Linked DNA regions of Lepisosteus oculatus. The protein of the gene in region 1 purifies or fractionates together with the protein of each later gene. This does not show direct contact. Links are inferred from orthologs where the notes say so. Each region holds a gene or a part of one and is shown on either strand. Other genes may lie near its edges.

The links.
Region 2: the proteins of sec16a (region 1) and sec23b purify together in Homo sapiens (affinity purification with mass spectrometry; 3 studies listed by BioGRID and IntAct, with this or other methods). This does not show direct contact. The link is inferred for Lepisosteus oculatus from reciprocal best matches to the Homo sapiens genes SEC16A and SEC23B.

Annotation. Positions count from the first base shown.
Region 1 is NC_090719.1:5,263,469-5,271,113, reverse strand, and holds the start of sec16a (protein transport protein Sec16A), read right to left. Parts: upstream 3,006-7,645; 5' UTR 2,853-3,005; intron 1-2,852. UniProt on the Homo sapiens protein: Acts as a molecular scaffold that plays a key role in the organization of the endoplasmic reticulum exit sites (ERES), also known as transitional endoplasmic reticulum (tER).
Region 2 is NC_090712.1:10,771,558-10,778,855, forward strand, and holds the start of sec23b (protein transport protein Sec23B), read left to right. Parts: upstream 1-4,286; 5' UTR 4,287-4,470; intron 4,471-5,706; exon of another isoform or gene 5,707-6,040; intron 6,041-6,771; 5' UTR 6,772-6,784; coding exon 6,785-7,005; intron 7,006-7,298. Other genes in the region: cystatin-2-like, read left to right, coding at 1,036-1,242, 1,324-1,434, 1,564-1,638. UniProt on the Homo sapiens protein: Component of the coat protein complex II (COPII) which promotes the formation of transport vesicles from the endoplasmic reticulum (ER).

The DNA.
Region 1 (7,645 bases):
CAATCTGTTTATACCTATGCACATTTTGCATATATTTTATTGTTTTTACAGTGACTAAGATCATATTTTGTACACACCTATGTATTTATTTTATATTTACTCTGTATTACTGTACATATTATAATTTGTATTCTATTCCGATGTCTGTTTTTTTGCTTGTCTTGGGCCAGACTGCTGTAACACATCAATTTCCCTTCAGGATCAATAAAGTCTTATCTATCTATTTTGTACACTTGCCACAGTAGTTCTTCAATATTTTTTAAACTAAAGCCATATTATTATTTAAGATTTACAGCTTTTTAGTTAGGGATTCAGTGATTCCACCAAAAGATCTGTCACACCAGTGTTGACAAAGCCTTGAGTTATTTATTCCCAAGTTGCAAGTTTTACAACTGTCAACTATAAGATGACTGCCCCTTCACTAATAAGAGAGGCTGCAAAACATTAAGAATGGCAAGCGAACTTTCTATTCTTATTTAAATGGATACATTATCACATGGCAAAATGAGTGCTGGATCTTTGAACCCAACAAAAATGCAATGATGACATCATTAATAATTTCTTGAGGAATGTACTGAATATTAATTAAGACAGTTTTTATAGAGACTGGGTTACCAACAATAGACCACGATCCTGTGCAAACAAAGTGACTGCATGAATTACAGTATGTGATCTTCAAGTACTGCATATTTAGGAGGCTGGGATATTCTGTGTGATTAACAGGAACACCTCAACATTAAACTGCACAGTTTAAAAACATATTTAAAAGGGGAAATGCAATGTTTTTTTTATATTTTGAGGTTACAAAATCAGTGCCCTTCAAACCACAATAAAAGTAAAATGTACAGTAACTTGTAGATCCTCCAATTTACATCACAAAATAAAATTTAAAGGTAGACGCAGCATCATATTCTGCGATTTGGAACAAGGCAACAAAACGTCTGGTGACGTGTTGGGGCCCTATTACACTGTGAGCAAGCAGGCTTGTGAATACATCTCTTTTAATCCAAGAGAAATACTGCTCTCGTCTTCAAGATGGTTTTGCTGATAAACTGATTGCAGATTATGTTGGAAAGTTTCTGTGGTGAAATGCCGGCTGCACAACCTGTGCTTAATTTGCACATTACATTAGTTATTACAGTGACTAGGGAGCAGTAGGGGCTGCTTTACGTCACAATTCGTGAGAAATCATGCTCTCGTCTATAGCAAGACCAGGGGTGTGCAACAGCACAGCGACATTTCAGTACTTTTACAAAGTTCACGATTGTGTGCTTATTTCGAAATTTGTTCAATTTGTCTATACCGTCAATGAATTTATTTTATCAAGATTTAATAACAAGCCTGAGAAACTGGGACTGCAGCTCGTCTTTAAATATACTCCAAATATCATAGAGAAAGTGGTTTGTGACTTACAAGATAAAGTGTATATTCTGTACACCTAACCCTTTTGGTTAGTAACTCATTGATCAGAAATCTCATCCAGCCATTTCTTGAAGGAAGCCAGGATATCAGCCTCAGATACATGGATGGTAGGTTCATCCATACTCCCACCACTTGTGACTCATTATACTTCTTTCAGTATATGAAAGAAGTATATGGAACCTTCACAGGAAAATTAATATTATATAGAATCATTTTGGCTTCCACAGCAAAAAATTCAACCACCAGTAACTAGACCTCCTTCGTAGTCCTATAGACATTTGTCTTCGGATTCACTGCACACATATAGATTTCTCCACTGGGTTGTGCGTACACTGTGAAGCAGCTTGCATTTCCTAATAACGGGATGGAATTCCACGTCAGCCTCAGGTGTGCGACGTTTCTGTGGCTAATGTAGTCCTCACAAACAGCGTTTAAAGAGCTGCTTTAGGACTAACTTTCTCACCCTCATCTATTGGCGCCCGTCGGTTGCACTGTTGCTCTAAAATAACTCTCAAAAGCATCATGAGTCAATACAATACAATGTAGACGAATCAGGTTATTTTGCAATGGTTAATTTAGCGATTTGCAATTTTCAATTCTTTACTATCGAACACCACAACAAACACCTATACGTTTTTTTGGTTTCCAAACTCTAAATCCTTATTATTCGTGTGTTACAATATTGTAATACAACTTAATTACTGAAGTCGCACTTGCAGTCAGGGTGCCTATCGGGTTTCTAAGTCGTAGAAACTAAAGTCCAAAGCATAAGGACTCTGTTCCTCACTAGAGCTACAACAAACGCAAAATTTAAGATGTTATCAGACGACACCCGCACAAAAATAAGCAAATAGTGAGAAGCTCTCAAATTAATACTCAAATGTTTTTAAGATCAAACCCGACCTTGCGATCTTAAAAAATAGCGAAAAGGACTATCTTCTCCAGCTTTATTTATTTGACACATTTGGAAGGAACGTTTCAATATCGAATAGGGAACATTTAAATTTTTCAAGCAATTTTATAATTAACACCACTGCGAAACCTGCCGTTAAAAGCGGCGACTCGTAGCAAATCGTTAACATGCTGCTGTCGTGTTTAAAGTCAACAAGCAGAGGATATCGGCGACTCATCACATATGATTAACTGAACGTCTGCAACAGGCAAGTGCCGAACTTTCACGAAGCCCGTTTGTACATCAGACTGGGGAGAGTGAAGATGTCCAACTCGCCGATAATCGATGGTCTGATGCCAAACCAGATCTTTAACAGGATGCGCTGTCAGTTCCTTAAAGCCCCCACTTCTGCCGGGGGGGGGGGGAATAATAACAGATCTTGTGCCTTTTAAAACTAGGGTAATCCCGACCCAGTCCCATTATACAAATCTGAACTCAGTGCTGCACCACACCGCTTGTACATCTCGATCCATCTTACCTCTCAAGAACGAGATCGCCGACCTCCTGGAGACGACAAAGAAACAACACAATTCGGCCAGTAAAGCGGAATTAAATAGGAATTCCTACAAGACTGCAGAACCGTGAGGCAAACACACAGCCGCCATCTTCAACCAGAGCTACATCCTGCTAGGCGACGTGTACCTCTAACGTCACAATCCCAAACACCGTGGCGTCACAGTCGAAGGCCTTGAACCATGTACAATTTGCAGTTAATGTTGTAATTTTGCATAATTGTATTTATTTTGGTTGTTGACAATAAAATCATATGCGTCTAAATGATTTAAAAAGAAATATAATTATTTTTAATAGAAAAGAACGAGGCACGATCCGAGCTCTACCGGAAATGGACGATTTATATCGAACAGTGCGCCCCTAGAGTACATCAACGTGTAATGTTTTTGTAAGAAAAGATGAACTTGCATCTGAACCCGAGATATTAAATTGGACCGAGTCCGTTTTTTTAAAGAAAATAATTGACATAGTGTATACACAACCCTGTTAATATAGTCCAGGGCAATACCGGGCTCAAGACCTTATTTCATGCGATGCGATGGATGCTTATAGTGTGACGAACATCGAAATCTGTTATGAGAAAGCAAGTATGTAATTTATCTGCTAATGAACAAATACATTTTATTATCTACGTTTGCGCAAGGAAATGATATTGTGTTATTTATACAGTAAATACACAATTTTTAAATACAGTATACTAAATTTGCAAATCTATAATGTGAACCGTCTGTCTGTGTTTTCAAAGGACTGTTGAGCCTCTTGGGAATTAACTAAGTCTGATCATTGTAAATGTGTTTTCCTGTTCCTAAAGTACTGTAGCGCGACGGGGTTGGCGAGGATGGAAACAGGAACTTAATTAGCTCTATTAGTTAAGAACTCGGTGCTATATTAGTCGGACGTGCGTCCGGCACAGCAACAACAACAGAGGAAGTAAAAACCAGAGAAAGCAGGGTACAACACACTAGGGTCATTTGGGGTACAGGTACGTAGGTATAGGGTGGTAAGTGGGTACAGGTATAAAAGGGGATGCAAAATTGGGGATCGCAGGGATCTGGACAACCTTTACAGTGGTGTACACCTGTTCCAGATGGTCAGTGACACTGGCCAGTGGCTCCCTTAGTACTCGCCCTGGTTAATACACCCATCCTGCCCTTCGCTGCGCACCTTAGCCGAGTGCTGTTCGGCCGCAACGCAACAAACCTGGCTATGTTAAACACAAAATCTTCCAGGCCCCGCGGACGGTGAAATCTGGACCTGGTTGCTCCCCAGACTCCTCTGCGCCCTCCCGTTCAAGTGAGCCCTCGCAAGCCCTGGAGGGAGCCAGGCGGTCTCGGTGCAGAACCACCACCCTCCCTCGCTTCCCAAGCCGTGAGCCGGACACGGTAGCAGAGCTCCCCCACGACCTCCCAGGGTCCCTCCCAGGCCGGCGCCAGCTTTGGGCCGAGCCCCTTGCGGCCCCGTGGGTTATAGACCCAGACGAGGTCCCTCGGTCTGAAAGGAGTCCCTCTGCAGCGCAGATTGTAATACCGCTTCTGCTGCACCCCCGCCTTCCCAGCATGAACGAGGCTGGAGTGCACCCAGTGGACTCCTGCACACCCAGTGGACTCCTGCACAGCGGTCCGGTACGCCCAGAGGGTGAGAGGTAAGTGGCGGTCCCAGTCCCGCTGGTGCCACAAGACGAAGGTGGCCAGTTGAGTGGAGAGCATCCGGTTAAGATGCTCCACCAGCCCGTCGCTCTGGGGATACAGCGAGGTGGTCCACGTTTTTTTAATCCCCAGGCGCTGGCACACCCCCACGAACACCTAAGACTCGACATTCCACCCCTGGTCACTATGGAGCTCCTCCAGCACCCCCAGCCTAGTGAACATTCCCTCCAACAGGGCATCGGCCATGGTGGACATGCTCTGATTCGGGAGGCGGTAAGCCTTGGGCCACTAAAATAATCCACTGCCACCAGGACGGAGCTGTTGCCCACCTCGGTCCCCGGAAATGGGCCCAATATGTCCACCCCCACTTGTTCCATGGGCTCCCCCACCTGGTGCCATTGGAGGGGCGCTCAGGAGGGCCCTTCTGGGCCTCGCAGACCGCACACGTCTGGCAGAAACGCCCCACATCCCAGTGGCAGAGACCCTAATAGAAGTGGCCCTGGAGTCACCGCAGGGTTTTCGCGGAGCCGAAGTGCCCCACACCCGGCTTACCGTGCACCGCCTGGAGAACTGCCCCGCAGAGCGATCGTGGCACTACAAGCTGCCACCTGACCTTGCCGCTGGAGGGTATCCACCCCGTCCCTTACCTCTAAGGCCTCCCACAGAGCACAGAGAGCCTTCATGGACTTGGTGTGAGAGGTGAGCTCCTCCCAACTGAGCTGCCTTCCAATGGGGCACTGGCCCAATGTCGGGGTACTCCCGCTGCTGCTGTGCCAGGTTCACAAGGTCCATACCGAATGGCCGCTTCCCCCCAACCACGGGTGGCCTCCTCACGCTGCTCCCACTGGGCGCAGTAGCGGCAGTCCTCCAGCTCCTTGAAATTTAGCAGCCAGTTGAGGGACGCATGGTCCATCCACAGTTTGAAACTAGTTCCAAACAGGTAGGGCTTGAAGTGGCAGACTGCCGAGACCACAGCCAGCAACTCCCTCCAGGTGACACAATAGTTTCTCTCTGCTTTGCTGAGCGCCAGGCTAAAATATGCAACGACCCGTTCCCCATCTAGACCCTCTTGCGCTAGTACTGCGCCCACCCCTGCATCATGTCAGTATCTAGCACATATGGTAGCGTCGGATCTGGGAAGGCCAGGACAGGGGCCCCCACTAGCACCTTCTGCAGCCCCCAGAAGGCCCCCTCACACTCCATGTCCCACACAAAACGGCACCCCTTCTCCGTAAGGCGGTGCAGTGGGGGGGTGAGGCTGGCAAAGTCCCGGACAAACTTCGGGTAATAAGACGTCAACCCCAGGAAACTGCAGAGCTCTGCTATGGTGTCAGTCACGCACTGCAGCGATCTTCCCCAGGTCTGTGACACCCCTCGCGGGCCAACCATATGACCCAGGAAAGTAACCTTTCCCAGGGTTGAGCTTCAACCCGGCCCGCCGGATGCAAGCCAACACTAACCAGAGGTTCGCCAGAGCCTGCTCGAAACCCTGGGCATGCACGAGTAGGTTGTCTAGATACACAAAGCATTCGCTCTAGTGGACTGATGCCAGCACTCGCTCCATCAACTGCTAAAACGTAACCGGGGCATTACACAGTCTGAAAGGCATGACCGTGAATTACCAGGTGCTCTGGTTTCATCCCACAGCCCAAAACCATGCTAGTAGGTTAATAGGCTTCTGAGAAAATTGGCTCAAGGTGTAAGTGTGTGTGTCTGTTTTTGTTTTCTGTTTGCCCTGCTGAAGGTAGTGTCCCAGGGGTGGTGCCGTGGCTCTGTGGCTAAGGATCTGTGCCTTCTGGTTGGAAGGCTATCAGTTTGCATCCTGTGGCTGGCAGAGGAATTCTGAGCAAGGCCCTTAACCCCAACTGCTCCAGGGGTGCCGTATAAATGGCTGACCCTGTGCTCTTTCCCCAAGCTTCTCTTCCTGTCTGTGTAACTCATGGAGAGCAAGTCGGAGTATGTGAAAACACAAATTCCTAATGCAATAAATTGCATAAGGCCAATAAAGTGATCTTATCTTATCCTGCCTCATGCCTGTTGCCTGCTAGGATAAGCTTTGGCTCCCCCATGACCCTGAATTTGTAGAAGAGTGTAGAAAATGGATGGATGAAAGAGGTTCTCCTAGCTCTTCAGGTGCTGATGAGACCTGTAAACCCCACTGAACAGGATCTAAAACTGGGCATCTCTGCTGCAAATGGTGAATAATCCCATTTCTGTGCAGCTGTAGCTCATTCTTAAACATTACACCATTCCATCATGACAGTTTAAAAGTCTCCTTGAAAGCTTAGTCATAATAATAAATGATAGTTTTATATAATTAATAGAGGTAATAGAGTGGTGAATTTTCATTCCTGGTCAGCACTTCTGCTGATCTAATAGGATTTGTTGCTGCAAAGATTGGTTATTTACAACCCATAATGCCGTGTACTGTACTGAATTCTTCTATGTTTTCTTCTCGCTGTCTCTCACGCTTGCAACAAGGGAAAGTGGTCTCTCCCTTGATGCCTGCGTCCCAACATGACATTATCTTCACAACTAAAGGAAGTCGGATGCTCAGATTGCAGCCATGCGTGCCCTGAAGAAAGCCCCCATGAGCAGGTTAAGGAAATGTTTGATGGAGGAATCAATGAGATCAGCTGAGATCAATGCTCAGCTGTCATGAAGCTCCTTCCTTCTCTCTCCCATGCTAACTGAGCCAGGAGGTAAGACAAATATTTTTCATCAAGAAGGTTTTGAAAGAAAAAGAAAATTTGGAAGTAAAGTGGAAACAGTGAGCTTTTCATTTGGTCTGGAAAGTCAGTTTCCTGAGAAGGAATGTCTAAAGAAGGCCAATGGGATTTTACAGTTACAGTTTCAGTGTAGATTTTAAGTTAACTTTTTGTTCCTGTTACCAAAGCAAGGAGAGGTGTAATGAAAAGATAAGGAGAGGAAATCAAGACATTAATGAGGTGCTGGATGAAGCAGCTAAGATAGTAAAGGTTTACAGAAACTTGGGCCCTGAAAGCTCTGAAGTGATCTAATCATCAGCAGTGATGTAATCCTGTGTCTGCTGTTTTTGTGTGGGAGCGTGGAACAAGCTACCTTGCCCTGTTGTTGAAGCTGAAACCCTGGT
Region 2 (7,298 bases), on another chromosome or scaffold:
TATTTGCTTAAACACAATTATGAAAAAGAAAATAAGAAACTCAGTCTTCCAAAATGAATATGACGTTATATAAAAAATAAAACTCAGCTTTATCTTTAAACTCTTTTTTTTAACAAACGTGGCAGCAACACAACAGAATAATGCCTTCTTGTCGCGACAATGCCTTTACAATGTGACCCGCCCAAGCAGGGATTTTAAAATCGGTCAATTACGCAGTTGCTAAGTGCTTACACAGGTGATGGGTGTGTCAGAAATTTGGCATAAAAGCGACAAGCCACCAGAGCGGTAGGGCCAGTGTTTTGTTTGACAAACAAAAGTACCAGCACTAAATCACAGGAGAAGGTAAGTATTTTCACCTCCTATTTCAAGTGGTTTGTTACCTAAAGAACAGAATGCTACGCACACGAGGGATCTTTCTGAGGAGTACACTGCATTAGATTTTGCTTATTATTTGATTGTTGGTGCATTTCCTGATCCTTATCGCGCTTTGGCTTCGAAACAAATGCTTACAGACCTGTATAGAACGAGACCAATTATTGCTATATGTGGAGATTTGTGAAACGCTTTTATTATAAAGGTTAATATGGTAAAGCAGATAAATTGTAGATATTCTTTATGAATATCATTTAAACTTTTAGGCTTCGTTTATATACATAGTGTGTATGTTTCTTGTACTTGTATTATACAGTTCAACTTCCTTTATTGCGTGATATGGAAAAGACCCTTGCAAAAATCGTTAGAAACTGTTTCCTGACTTTTTAAAACTTCCTGATTTTTATTTTGTTATGCTATAGCATACTAAATATCTTTTCAGTGATGGATTGACTGCCACCATTAAAATAAATTTAACCTTTTATATTTAGATAAAGACTTGTATTAAAGTGATGGAGACTAGACTTTGAGTTATGTCAACATTTCTAACACTCAACATCCCCAGCTCATGAAATGTTCTTTGGTTAGAATGACTCTGTACACTTTGTGATGTTAGTCTTCATTTTTTCTTTTCAGTTTATTACTTCAGACTAATCAAGAAGCATGGGATTGGTGTGGTACAGTTTCTGTGGGCTTGTGTGCTTTGCATTCCTTAAGGCCTCCACACAGATGGTGGGGGATATTCGAGAGGCTTCTGTTGACGACCCAGGAGTACTTAAAAGTGCTCAGTTTGCGGTTGATGAGTATAACAAAGCAAGCAACGACATGTACCTCAGTAAACTAATTGAGATAACTTATGCAAAACAGCAGGTAACCAGCATTTCTTCTTCATCATTTCATTTGTTGTTGTTGTTGTTACTGCTTTCATGACATTTCTTTACATTTCAATAGGTTGTTAATGGGATTAAATACTACCTTGGTGTTGAACTGGGACACACAGAGTGTGAGAAAAGGAACTTCTCTGATGCGTGTTCTTGCAGTTTGCCTCCCAGTCAAGATCAGGTGAGAATGGGTTGTCCTCCTTTTGTATCGTTTAGGCACATTAAAAAGTATTGATATTTGGAATGCATACCTGTTGAAATTGTTTTTGCAAAATAACTGAGTTTCTTTTTTTCCCCTGCTCCCTTTTAGACAATATTTTGCCGTTTTGAAGTTCTAGTAGTTGCCTGGAGAAATGAAACAACCCTGTTGAGTATGAGCTGTTAGCCTGAAAGCTATTGAAAATTTGCACACAAGTGTAAATGAGCTATGTTCAGAAGTGGAAGAAACTTGAAAAGCACCTGTTTGAAAACTATTAATCTATTTCCTTTTACCTCTTTGGCAATGTTAATGGTGTTCCCTAATGTTCAAGCGATCTGCATGTGAACCAAATTGATTTACTTTTACTTTTCTGCAGTTTTAGAGTTGCAAAGAAACTTTGTAATGTATTATGGAATTTCACTGGACAACTTCATTTTCACATTCTGTTGGCTTATGTTTACTGCATATCTCTTTCAGGCATCTTTGAGAAACCAGTTTCATGGCATGTTATTCAGACAAAGTCCTGTAGTACACTTTGCAGTGAGAACTATGTTTAACTCTGTTATTCCTTTCGAGGAGGAAACACAGCTTTTAAAAATGTCAACTGATACAATAAATTCTGCTTCAAAAATTGTAAGACTGGTTAATTGAAGACCATTGCCTTATGCCCTTGTTAAATGAAGCCACTGGTGTTTAACTTGCTGATTTAATTAAACATGGAACTTTTTCTCTTAATTTCTTAACTGCCCATAAGTGAAAGAATTTACTGGCACCTGAAAGTGACTTGGTAGACTGTCATTATTGGGGGAATTACTGATTTATACAAGTTTAAAAAAACTCCTCAATTTTTTGAGGTTCCATTGGCAGAAATTGTAGCCATGCATCTCTCTACATTATTATTGCATATCTGGATACTGCAATTTTTGTTAATCTTTTTCAAATTCCAGACATTAAATCAGGGAAGTGGTGATCTAAATGGTAAAGAATCATCCACTGGGATTTTGATCCTCTTCTTGTAAAGCCTGGATCTGCATATCTTGTTTATTGGTCTATGAGCTATATTGACCATTCTTGTTCATTCTCCAAATCTTGCATAAAGCTCAAATTCTCATCTTGCAAAAAAAAAAAAGTAATTGCTACAGGAGTAGCATGAGGATGTGTGTTATCACTTAATCTGCTCAGTCACAGGAATTGATCAATTTACAGCCATGCACTCATGTTTCATCAATTACTGCCAGTTGAGTTCTCTACTGATTGGACCCTGTGCCTCCCTGTCAATTGGTCTGCTGTACAGAACAGTGCTTTTTTCCACGTGTCTGTACTATATTTGCAGTTGGAAGTTGGACTAAGACACCTCAGTATATCGGTATACCATTGATGGTAAGAAGGCACGGTTGTCTTGATAAGCAGGACATCCTGGTACCTTTCCCTTTTTTTTTTTCTACACCAATGTTGATATACAAGAACTTAAATCATCAGATTACCAGTGCCCAACCTGTTCTCAAGCGTGAGGTGATTTTGTGCTTATGCAATAGTGCAAACCACTCCCAATTGTTTCAGTTAGGAATTATCAATTAAAGGAATTTCTAACAAATACAGAAAAATAACAGTAAGGATGTTGTTCTTCAACTCCACCACTCTAACTTCTAATCTTTTATGATGTCCTTTCCCCCATTGCCCCAAAAAAGTAAGATCTATGCTTGCTCAGGTTAATTTTCTTTAGCATTCCTCATCCAGCCCATCTTCAGCTTTGCACCCTTGGGTCATTTCACTTGACATGGGCTCCTAACATCCTCGTTCTACAGCCAGGTGGTTGGACCTTTATTCACATTTCAGTAAACATTTTTGCTTTTTATGGCTGGGTGTTATTTTTCATGAAATCTAAATGATGCCTAAACTGGTTCATATCTAAGGTGTGAATAAAATATATTCATAATTTCTTTTGATACTTAGCATATATATATTTTTAAAGGTAAAGGCTTTGATGGAGACTATAATTTGCATTAAAAAAACATTAGGTGATTTTATAAATCTCTCTTCAATGTATAAATGGTACAGAAAACATGTTATTTTCATCCAGGTACTTTAATTTAAGGCCTAGTGCTTTTAGGTAGTATTGTATTCCTAGGTGTCATATATGTTTCAGATTGTGTCATGTTAAGGGATTCCATTATACCACACTGTATCACTACAACATGGCTCGAGAGTCCTGGAATCAATTCAGACCTGGGTGTCTTTGTGAAGTCTGCATATTCTCCTCTTCACCTTGTTCAAGCTGCTTGATTCAAGTGGTTGACTTGCCACTTTAAATATTCTAATTTGGAGACTTTTTTCCCAGTTCAAGCTAGACTGACTGTGGGACTATAGTGAAACAAAACCCAATTTCCTTAATAGGACAAATAATTTTTCAATATTTTCAAAGTACATCACCTTATGGGGTAAGGTAAATACAGTACTTCTAAGAGGGTTAAGGGTCTTGCTCAGGGGCACATCAGAGTAGGATTCTACTGCCTGCTGTAGGATATGAACTGGCAACCTTCCAGCCAAAGGTGCAGACCCTTAGCCACAGAGCCACCGCACCGCCCAACTACATAAATAATACTGAAGAAAGCTCCATTCCTTCAGCGTGGAATAAACCTTTACTTGTTCCTTTGCAGCCTACGCATGCAGATGCAGCAACCACTTGTACAGAAATAATGCCGATGATAATGACGTTCACAAGCGCTAGGGGGAGCTAATCAGATTTAGCGTTTCTTTCTCTTGACGTGGCGAATTGTAATTGCCGGTGACATCATGAAGGACGTTAACCAATAACGTTTGAGCTGAGGTGGATTTCCTAGACCGGTAGTAACACGTCATTCCACGGGCGTCCAAGTAGCCGGTGTTCACTTCACATTCCTTTCATTCCCAGAGTTATTCCTTCAGTTTGTGTTTTTTTTAATTGTTCTTTCATTCCGATCTTTAGGTGTGATTGACAGTAGTTTCTGTCGTTTTTTTCACGTTTGTCTTCTTTTGAAGGTAGGTTCGGTTTCTTAGTATTTGTAGGCCGCTGATTATCTCGCTAAGCCTGCACCTATCCTAACATTGATCCCGGTATAGGAAGGTAGGAAGTGGGGTGAGGGTTAATGGAGTAGAGCTTGCGAGGGTTAATAAGCACCGTGTTTTAACCTTGCCCGATGTATAACAACTACAGTTTAGCAGCAAGTTATAACATGAGTAGAGTCTTATTCTCTTTGTACAAATTATATTTGTAGGGGGTTAAATGTAAGATACTACTGTGTGTGGAAAACAAATCACTAGATGTGATGAAGAAGGAGAATCGGAATCGCAGTATCAGTTCTTGAAATTGTAAGAGATTTCCCGTATTTGGAAAACCAGTGTAGCTGTTGGGGCAACAGCTTTATTACCAGTTTTTAAATTAACCAGGTTATTGATAGTTCAACATAAAATATGGGAATCTGTAGTTGGTGCCGACCCCAGTTATGTCTACGCCAACATCCTGTTAGCAGGGAGTGGTGTTTGGAAAGGGGAGTCTTCCCCCCTGTTAAATTAGGTTATCTTGTGGCTGTTATCTGTCTGTATTGGGCAGTTCGGTTGTTGCCTTTTGTTTACTGGTGGCAGCTGTTAACAACCACTATTTTCGTTAAGAAAACGGATATCGTTGTTAATTCAAACTTAAAACTGATGGGATTTGTTTACCTTCAGCTGAGACTTGTGTGTGTATATATCCATTTTTAATAAACATGATCTGACAAGCGTAAATGTGAAAACTGACAGGCAGAAAGAGAACGTAGCTCGTTTACTAGTATCAAGCCAATTAAAACGTGAGAACCGCATCAGAATTTAGCCGAGTAGAACATGTTCTTATTCCGTGGAGTAAAGATTCGGCTCATTGTAAGGAATACTTGGTTACTAAGTGGAATTATAGAACGACCAGTGGTGGCTCTGTGGCTAAGGATCTGCCCCTGTGACTGGAAGGTTGCCGGTTCAAATCCCGTGGCCGGCAGAGGAATCCTACTCCGTTGGGCCCCTGAGCAAGGCCCTTAACCCTAACTGCTCCAGGGGCGCTGTACAATGGCTGACCCTGCGCTCTGACCCCAAGCTTCTCTCCCTGTCTGTGTGTCTGTGTCTCCATGGAGAAAAGCTGGGGTATGTGAAAAGATGAATTCCTAATGCAAGAAATTGTACAGGGCTAATAAAGAAACATTATTACATTATTACGTTCGTGAAATGGTAGACTTTACTGAACCATATGGTTGCTGTTGAGAAATGCCCGAAAAAGCGTATTTGCTGGATTTTGCTTAGCACAGGTGTGCTTTCTAAACTGAAAATCCAGGTGTGTCAGCTCTGACGCACTACCTGTCTAAAAATATCCCATTGAAGACGGTTTTACATCCGGAAACCTGTCTAACAGGTTTATTTTGACATCATAGCTGTTTCTTGATTTGTCCATTACGTGCTAGTTTCTGGACTATTAAAGTCACAAATATGCTTTGTAAGTAGCATTTTCTTTGTGGACCTGTACAGTTAAGGAACGGAACCGTAGTACCAGAAAGCTGTTCAGCAGTTGTGTGGGTTGTCATTATTGGTATGTAAATACTGTCTTCTTTTCGACATTTGATCATAAGACCTAGCTGGGTTTCTTAGTAGTATTTACCGCTTAATAGATATTTTCATATGGAACAGAGCTTTTTAATTTAGATTTTTTTTTTTAATTGTCACGAACTTAAAATTGGCTGGATTCGGAAAGTTATTGAATTGGTTGACTTAACCATTTTGAATTTTTATTTGTGATCTGTGTTTACTCAAAAACAAAACTGTTGTCTAAAATACACAAGTAATAGGTTGCCATTTTGCAACTCTTTATGGCTTTTCTTTTATTTCTATTGCTTTTTTAAAACAAGGCACTTTTTTATTTTTCACACATTAATTTCATGGCCAGTACATTTTCTTGCCCAGGAGTGTCTGCACTATGAAAGTTTTATAGGTAACTTAAGAAGTGCCTACAGTAGCAGTGCAGGCCAGTTGAATAATTAAGAGCTCTAGTGACTCTGAATGTTACCAAAGCAAAATTATTTAGATTAACTTTTCAACCTATTATGGATAGATTCAGAGTGAGATAAAATGACTGGGAAGTGTAAGTCTCTGAGAGAGTTCAGGTGAGATGACTCCCAGAGTTTAATATGGGAATGTGTATCGCACCCCTGGAAAAAGGGAAGTACAAGACAACTGGAATGGTAGATGATAAAGAACAAGCGTTTTTTTTTTGGTTGCATCATTTTCGAGCGGCTCAGGTTTATGATCTTGCTCTTTTTATAGCCTGTCAGATCTCATGGCAACATATCAGGAGTTCATCCAACAAAACGAGGAGCGGGATGGGGTGCGGTTCAGCTGGAACGTGTGGCCCTCGAGCCGTCTGGAGGCCACCAGGATGGTGGTGCCCCTCTCCTGCCTCTTCACCCCTCTGAAGGAGCGTCCCGACCTCCCTCCTGTGCAATACGAGCCCGTGCTCTGCAGCAGACCCAACTGCAAAGCTGTGCTCAACCCCCTCTGGTATGCTGTCTGTTAAAATTTCAGCCATGACATTTCTGTGTAATCATACCCACTATGACGTTTTCTTTATGAACCGTTTCACTGGAGTTTCTTCCAGTACTTTCACAAGGTAGGACTGACGGAGCTTAAACAAGAATCCTCAGCTTTGTCTTTTCTGATTCAGAATTGATTTTCACATTTCTTTTATCTGAGGTCCTTTGGATTACTTTGAACCTCATAAAACTGGATTTTGAAGACCGTTATATGCCTAAAATTATGTAACATTGGGGAATTCAAGATACCCTTTTCACTTA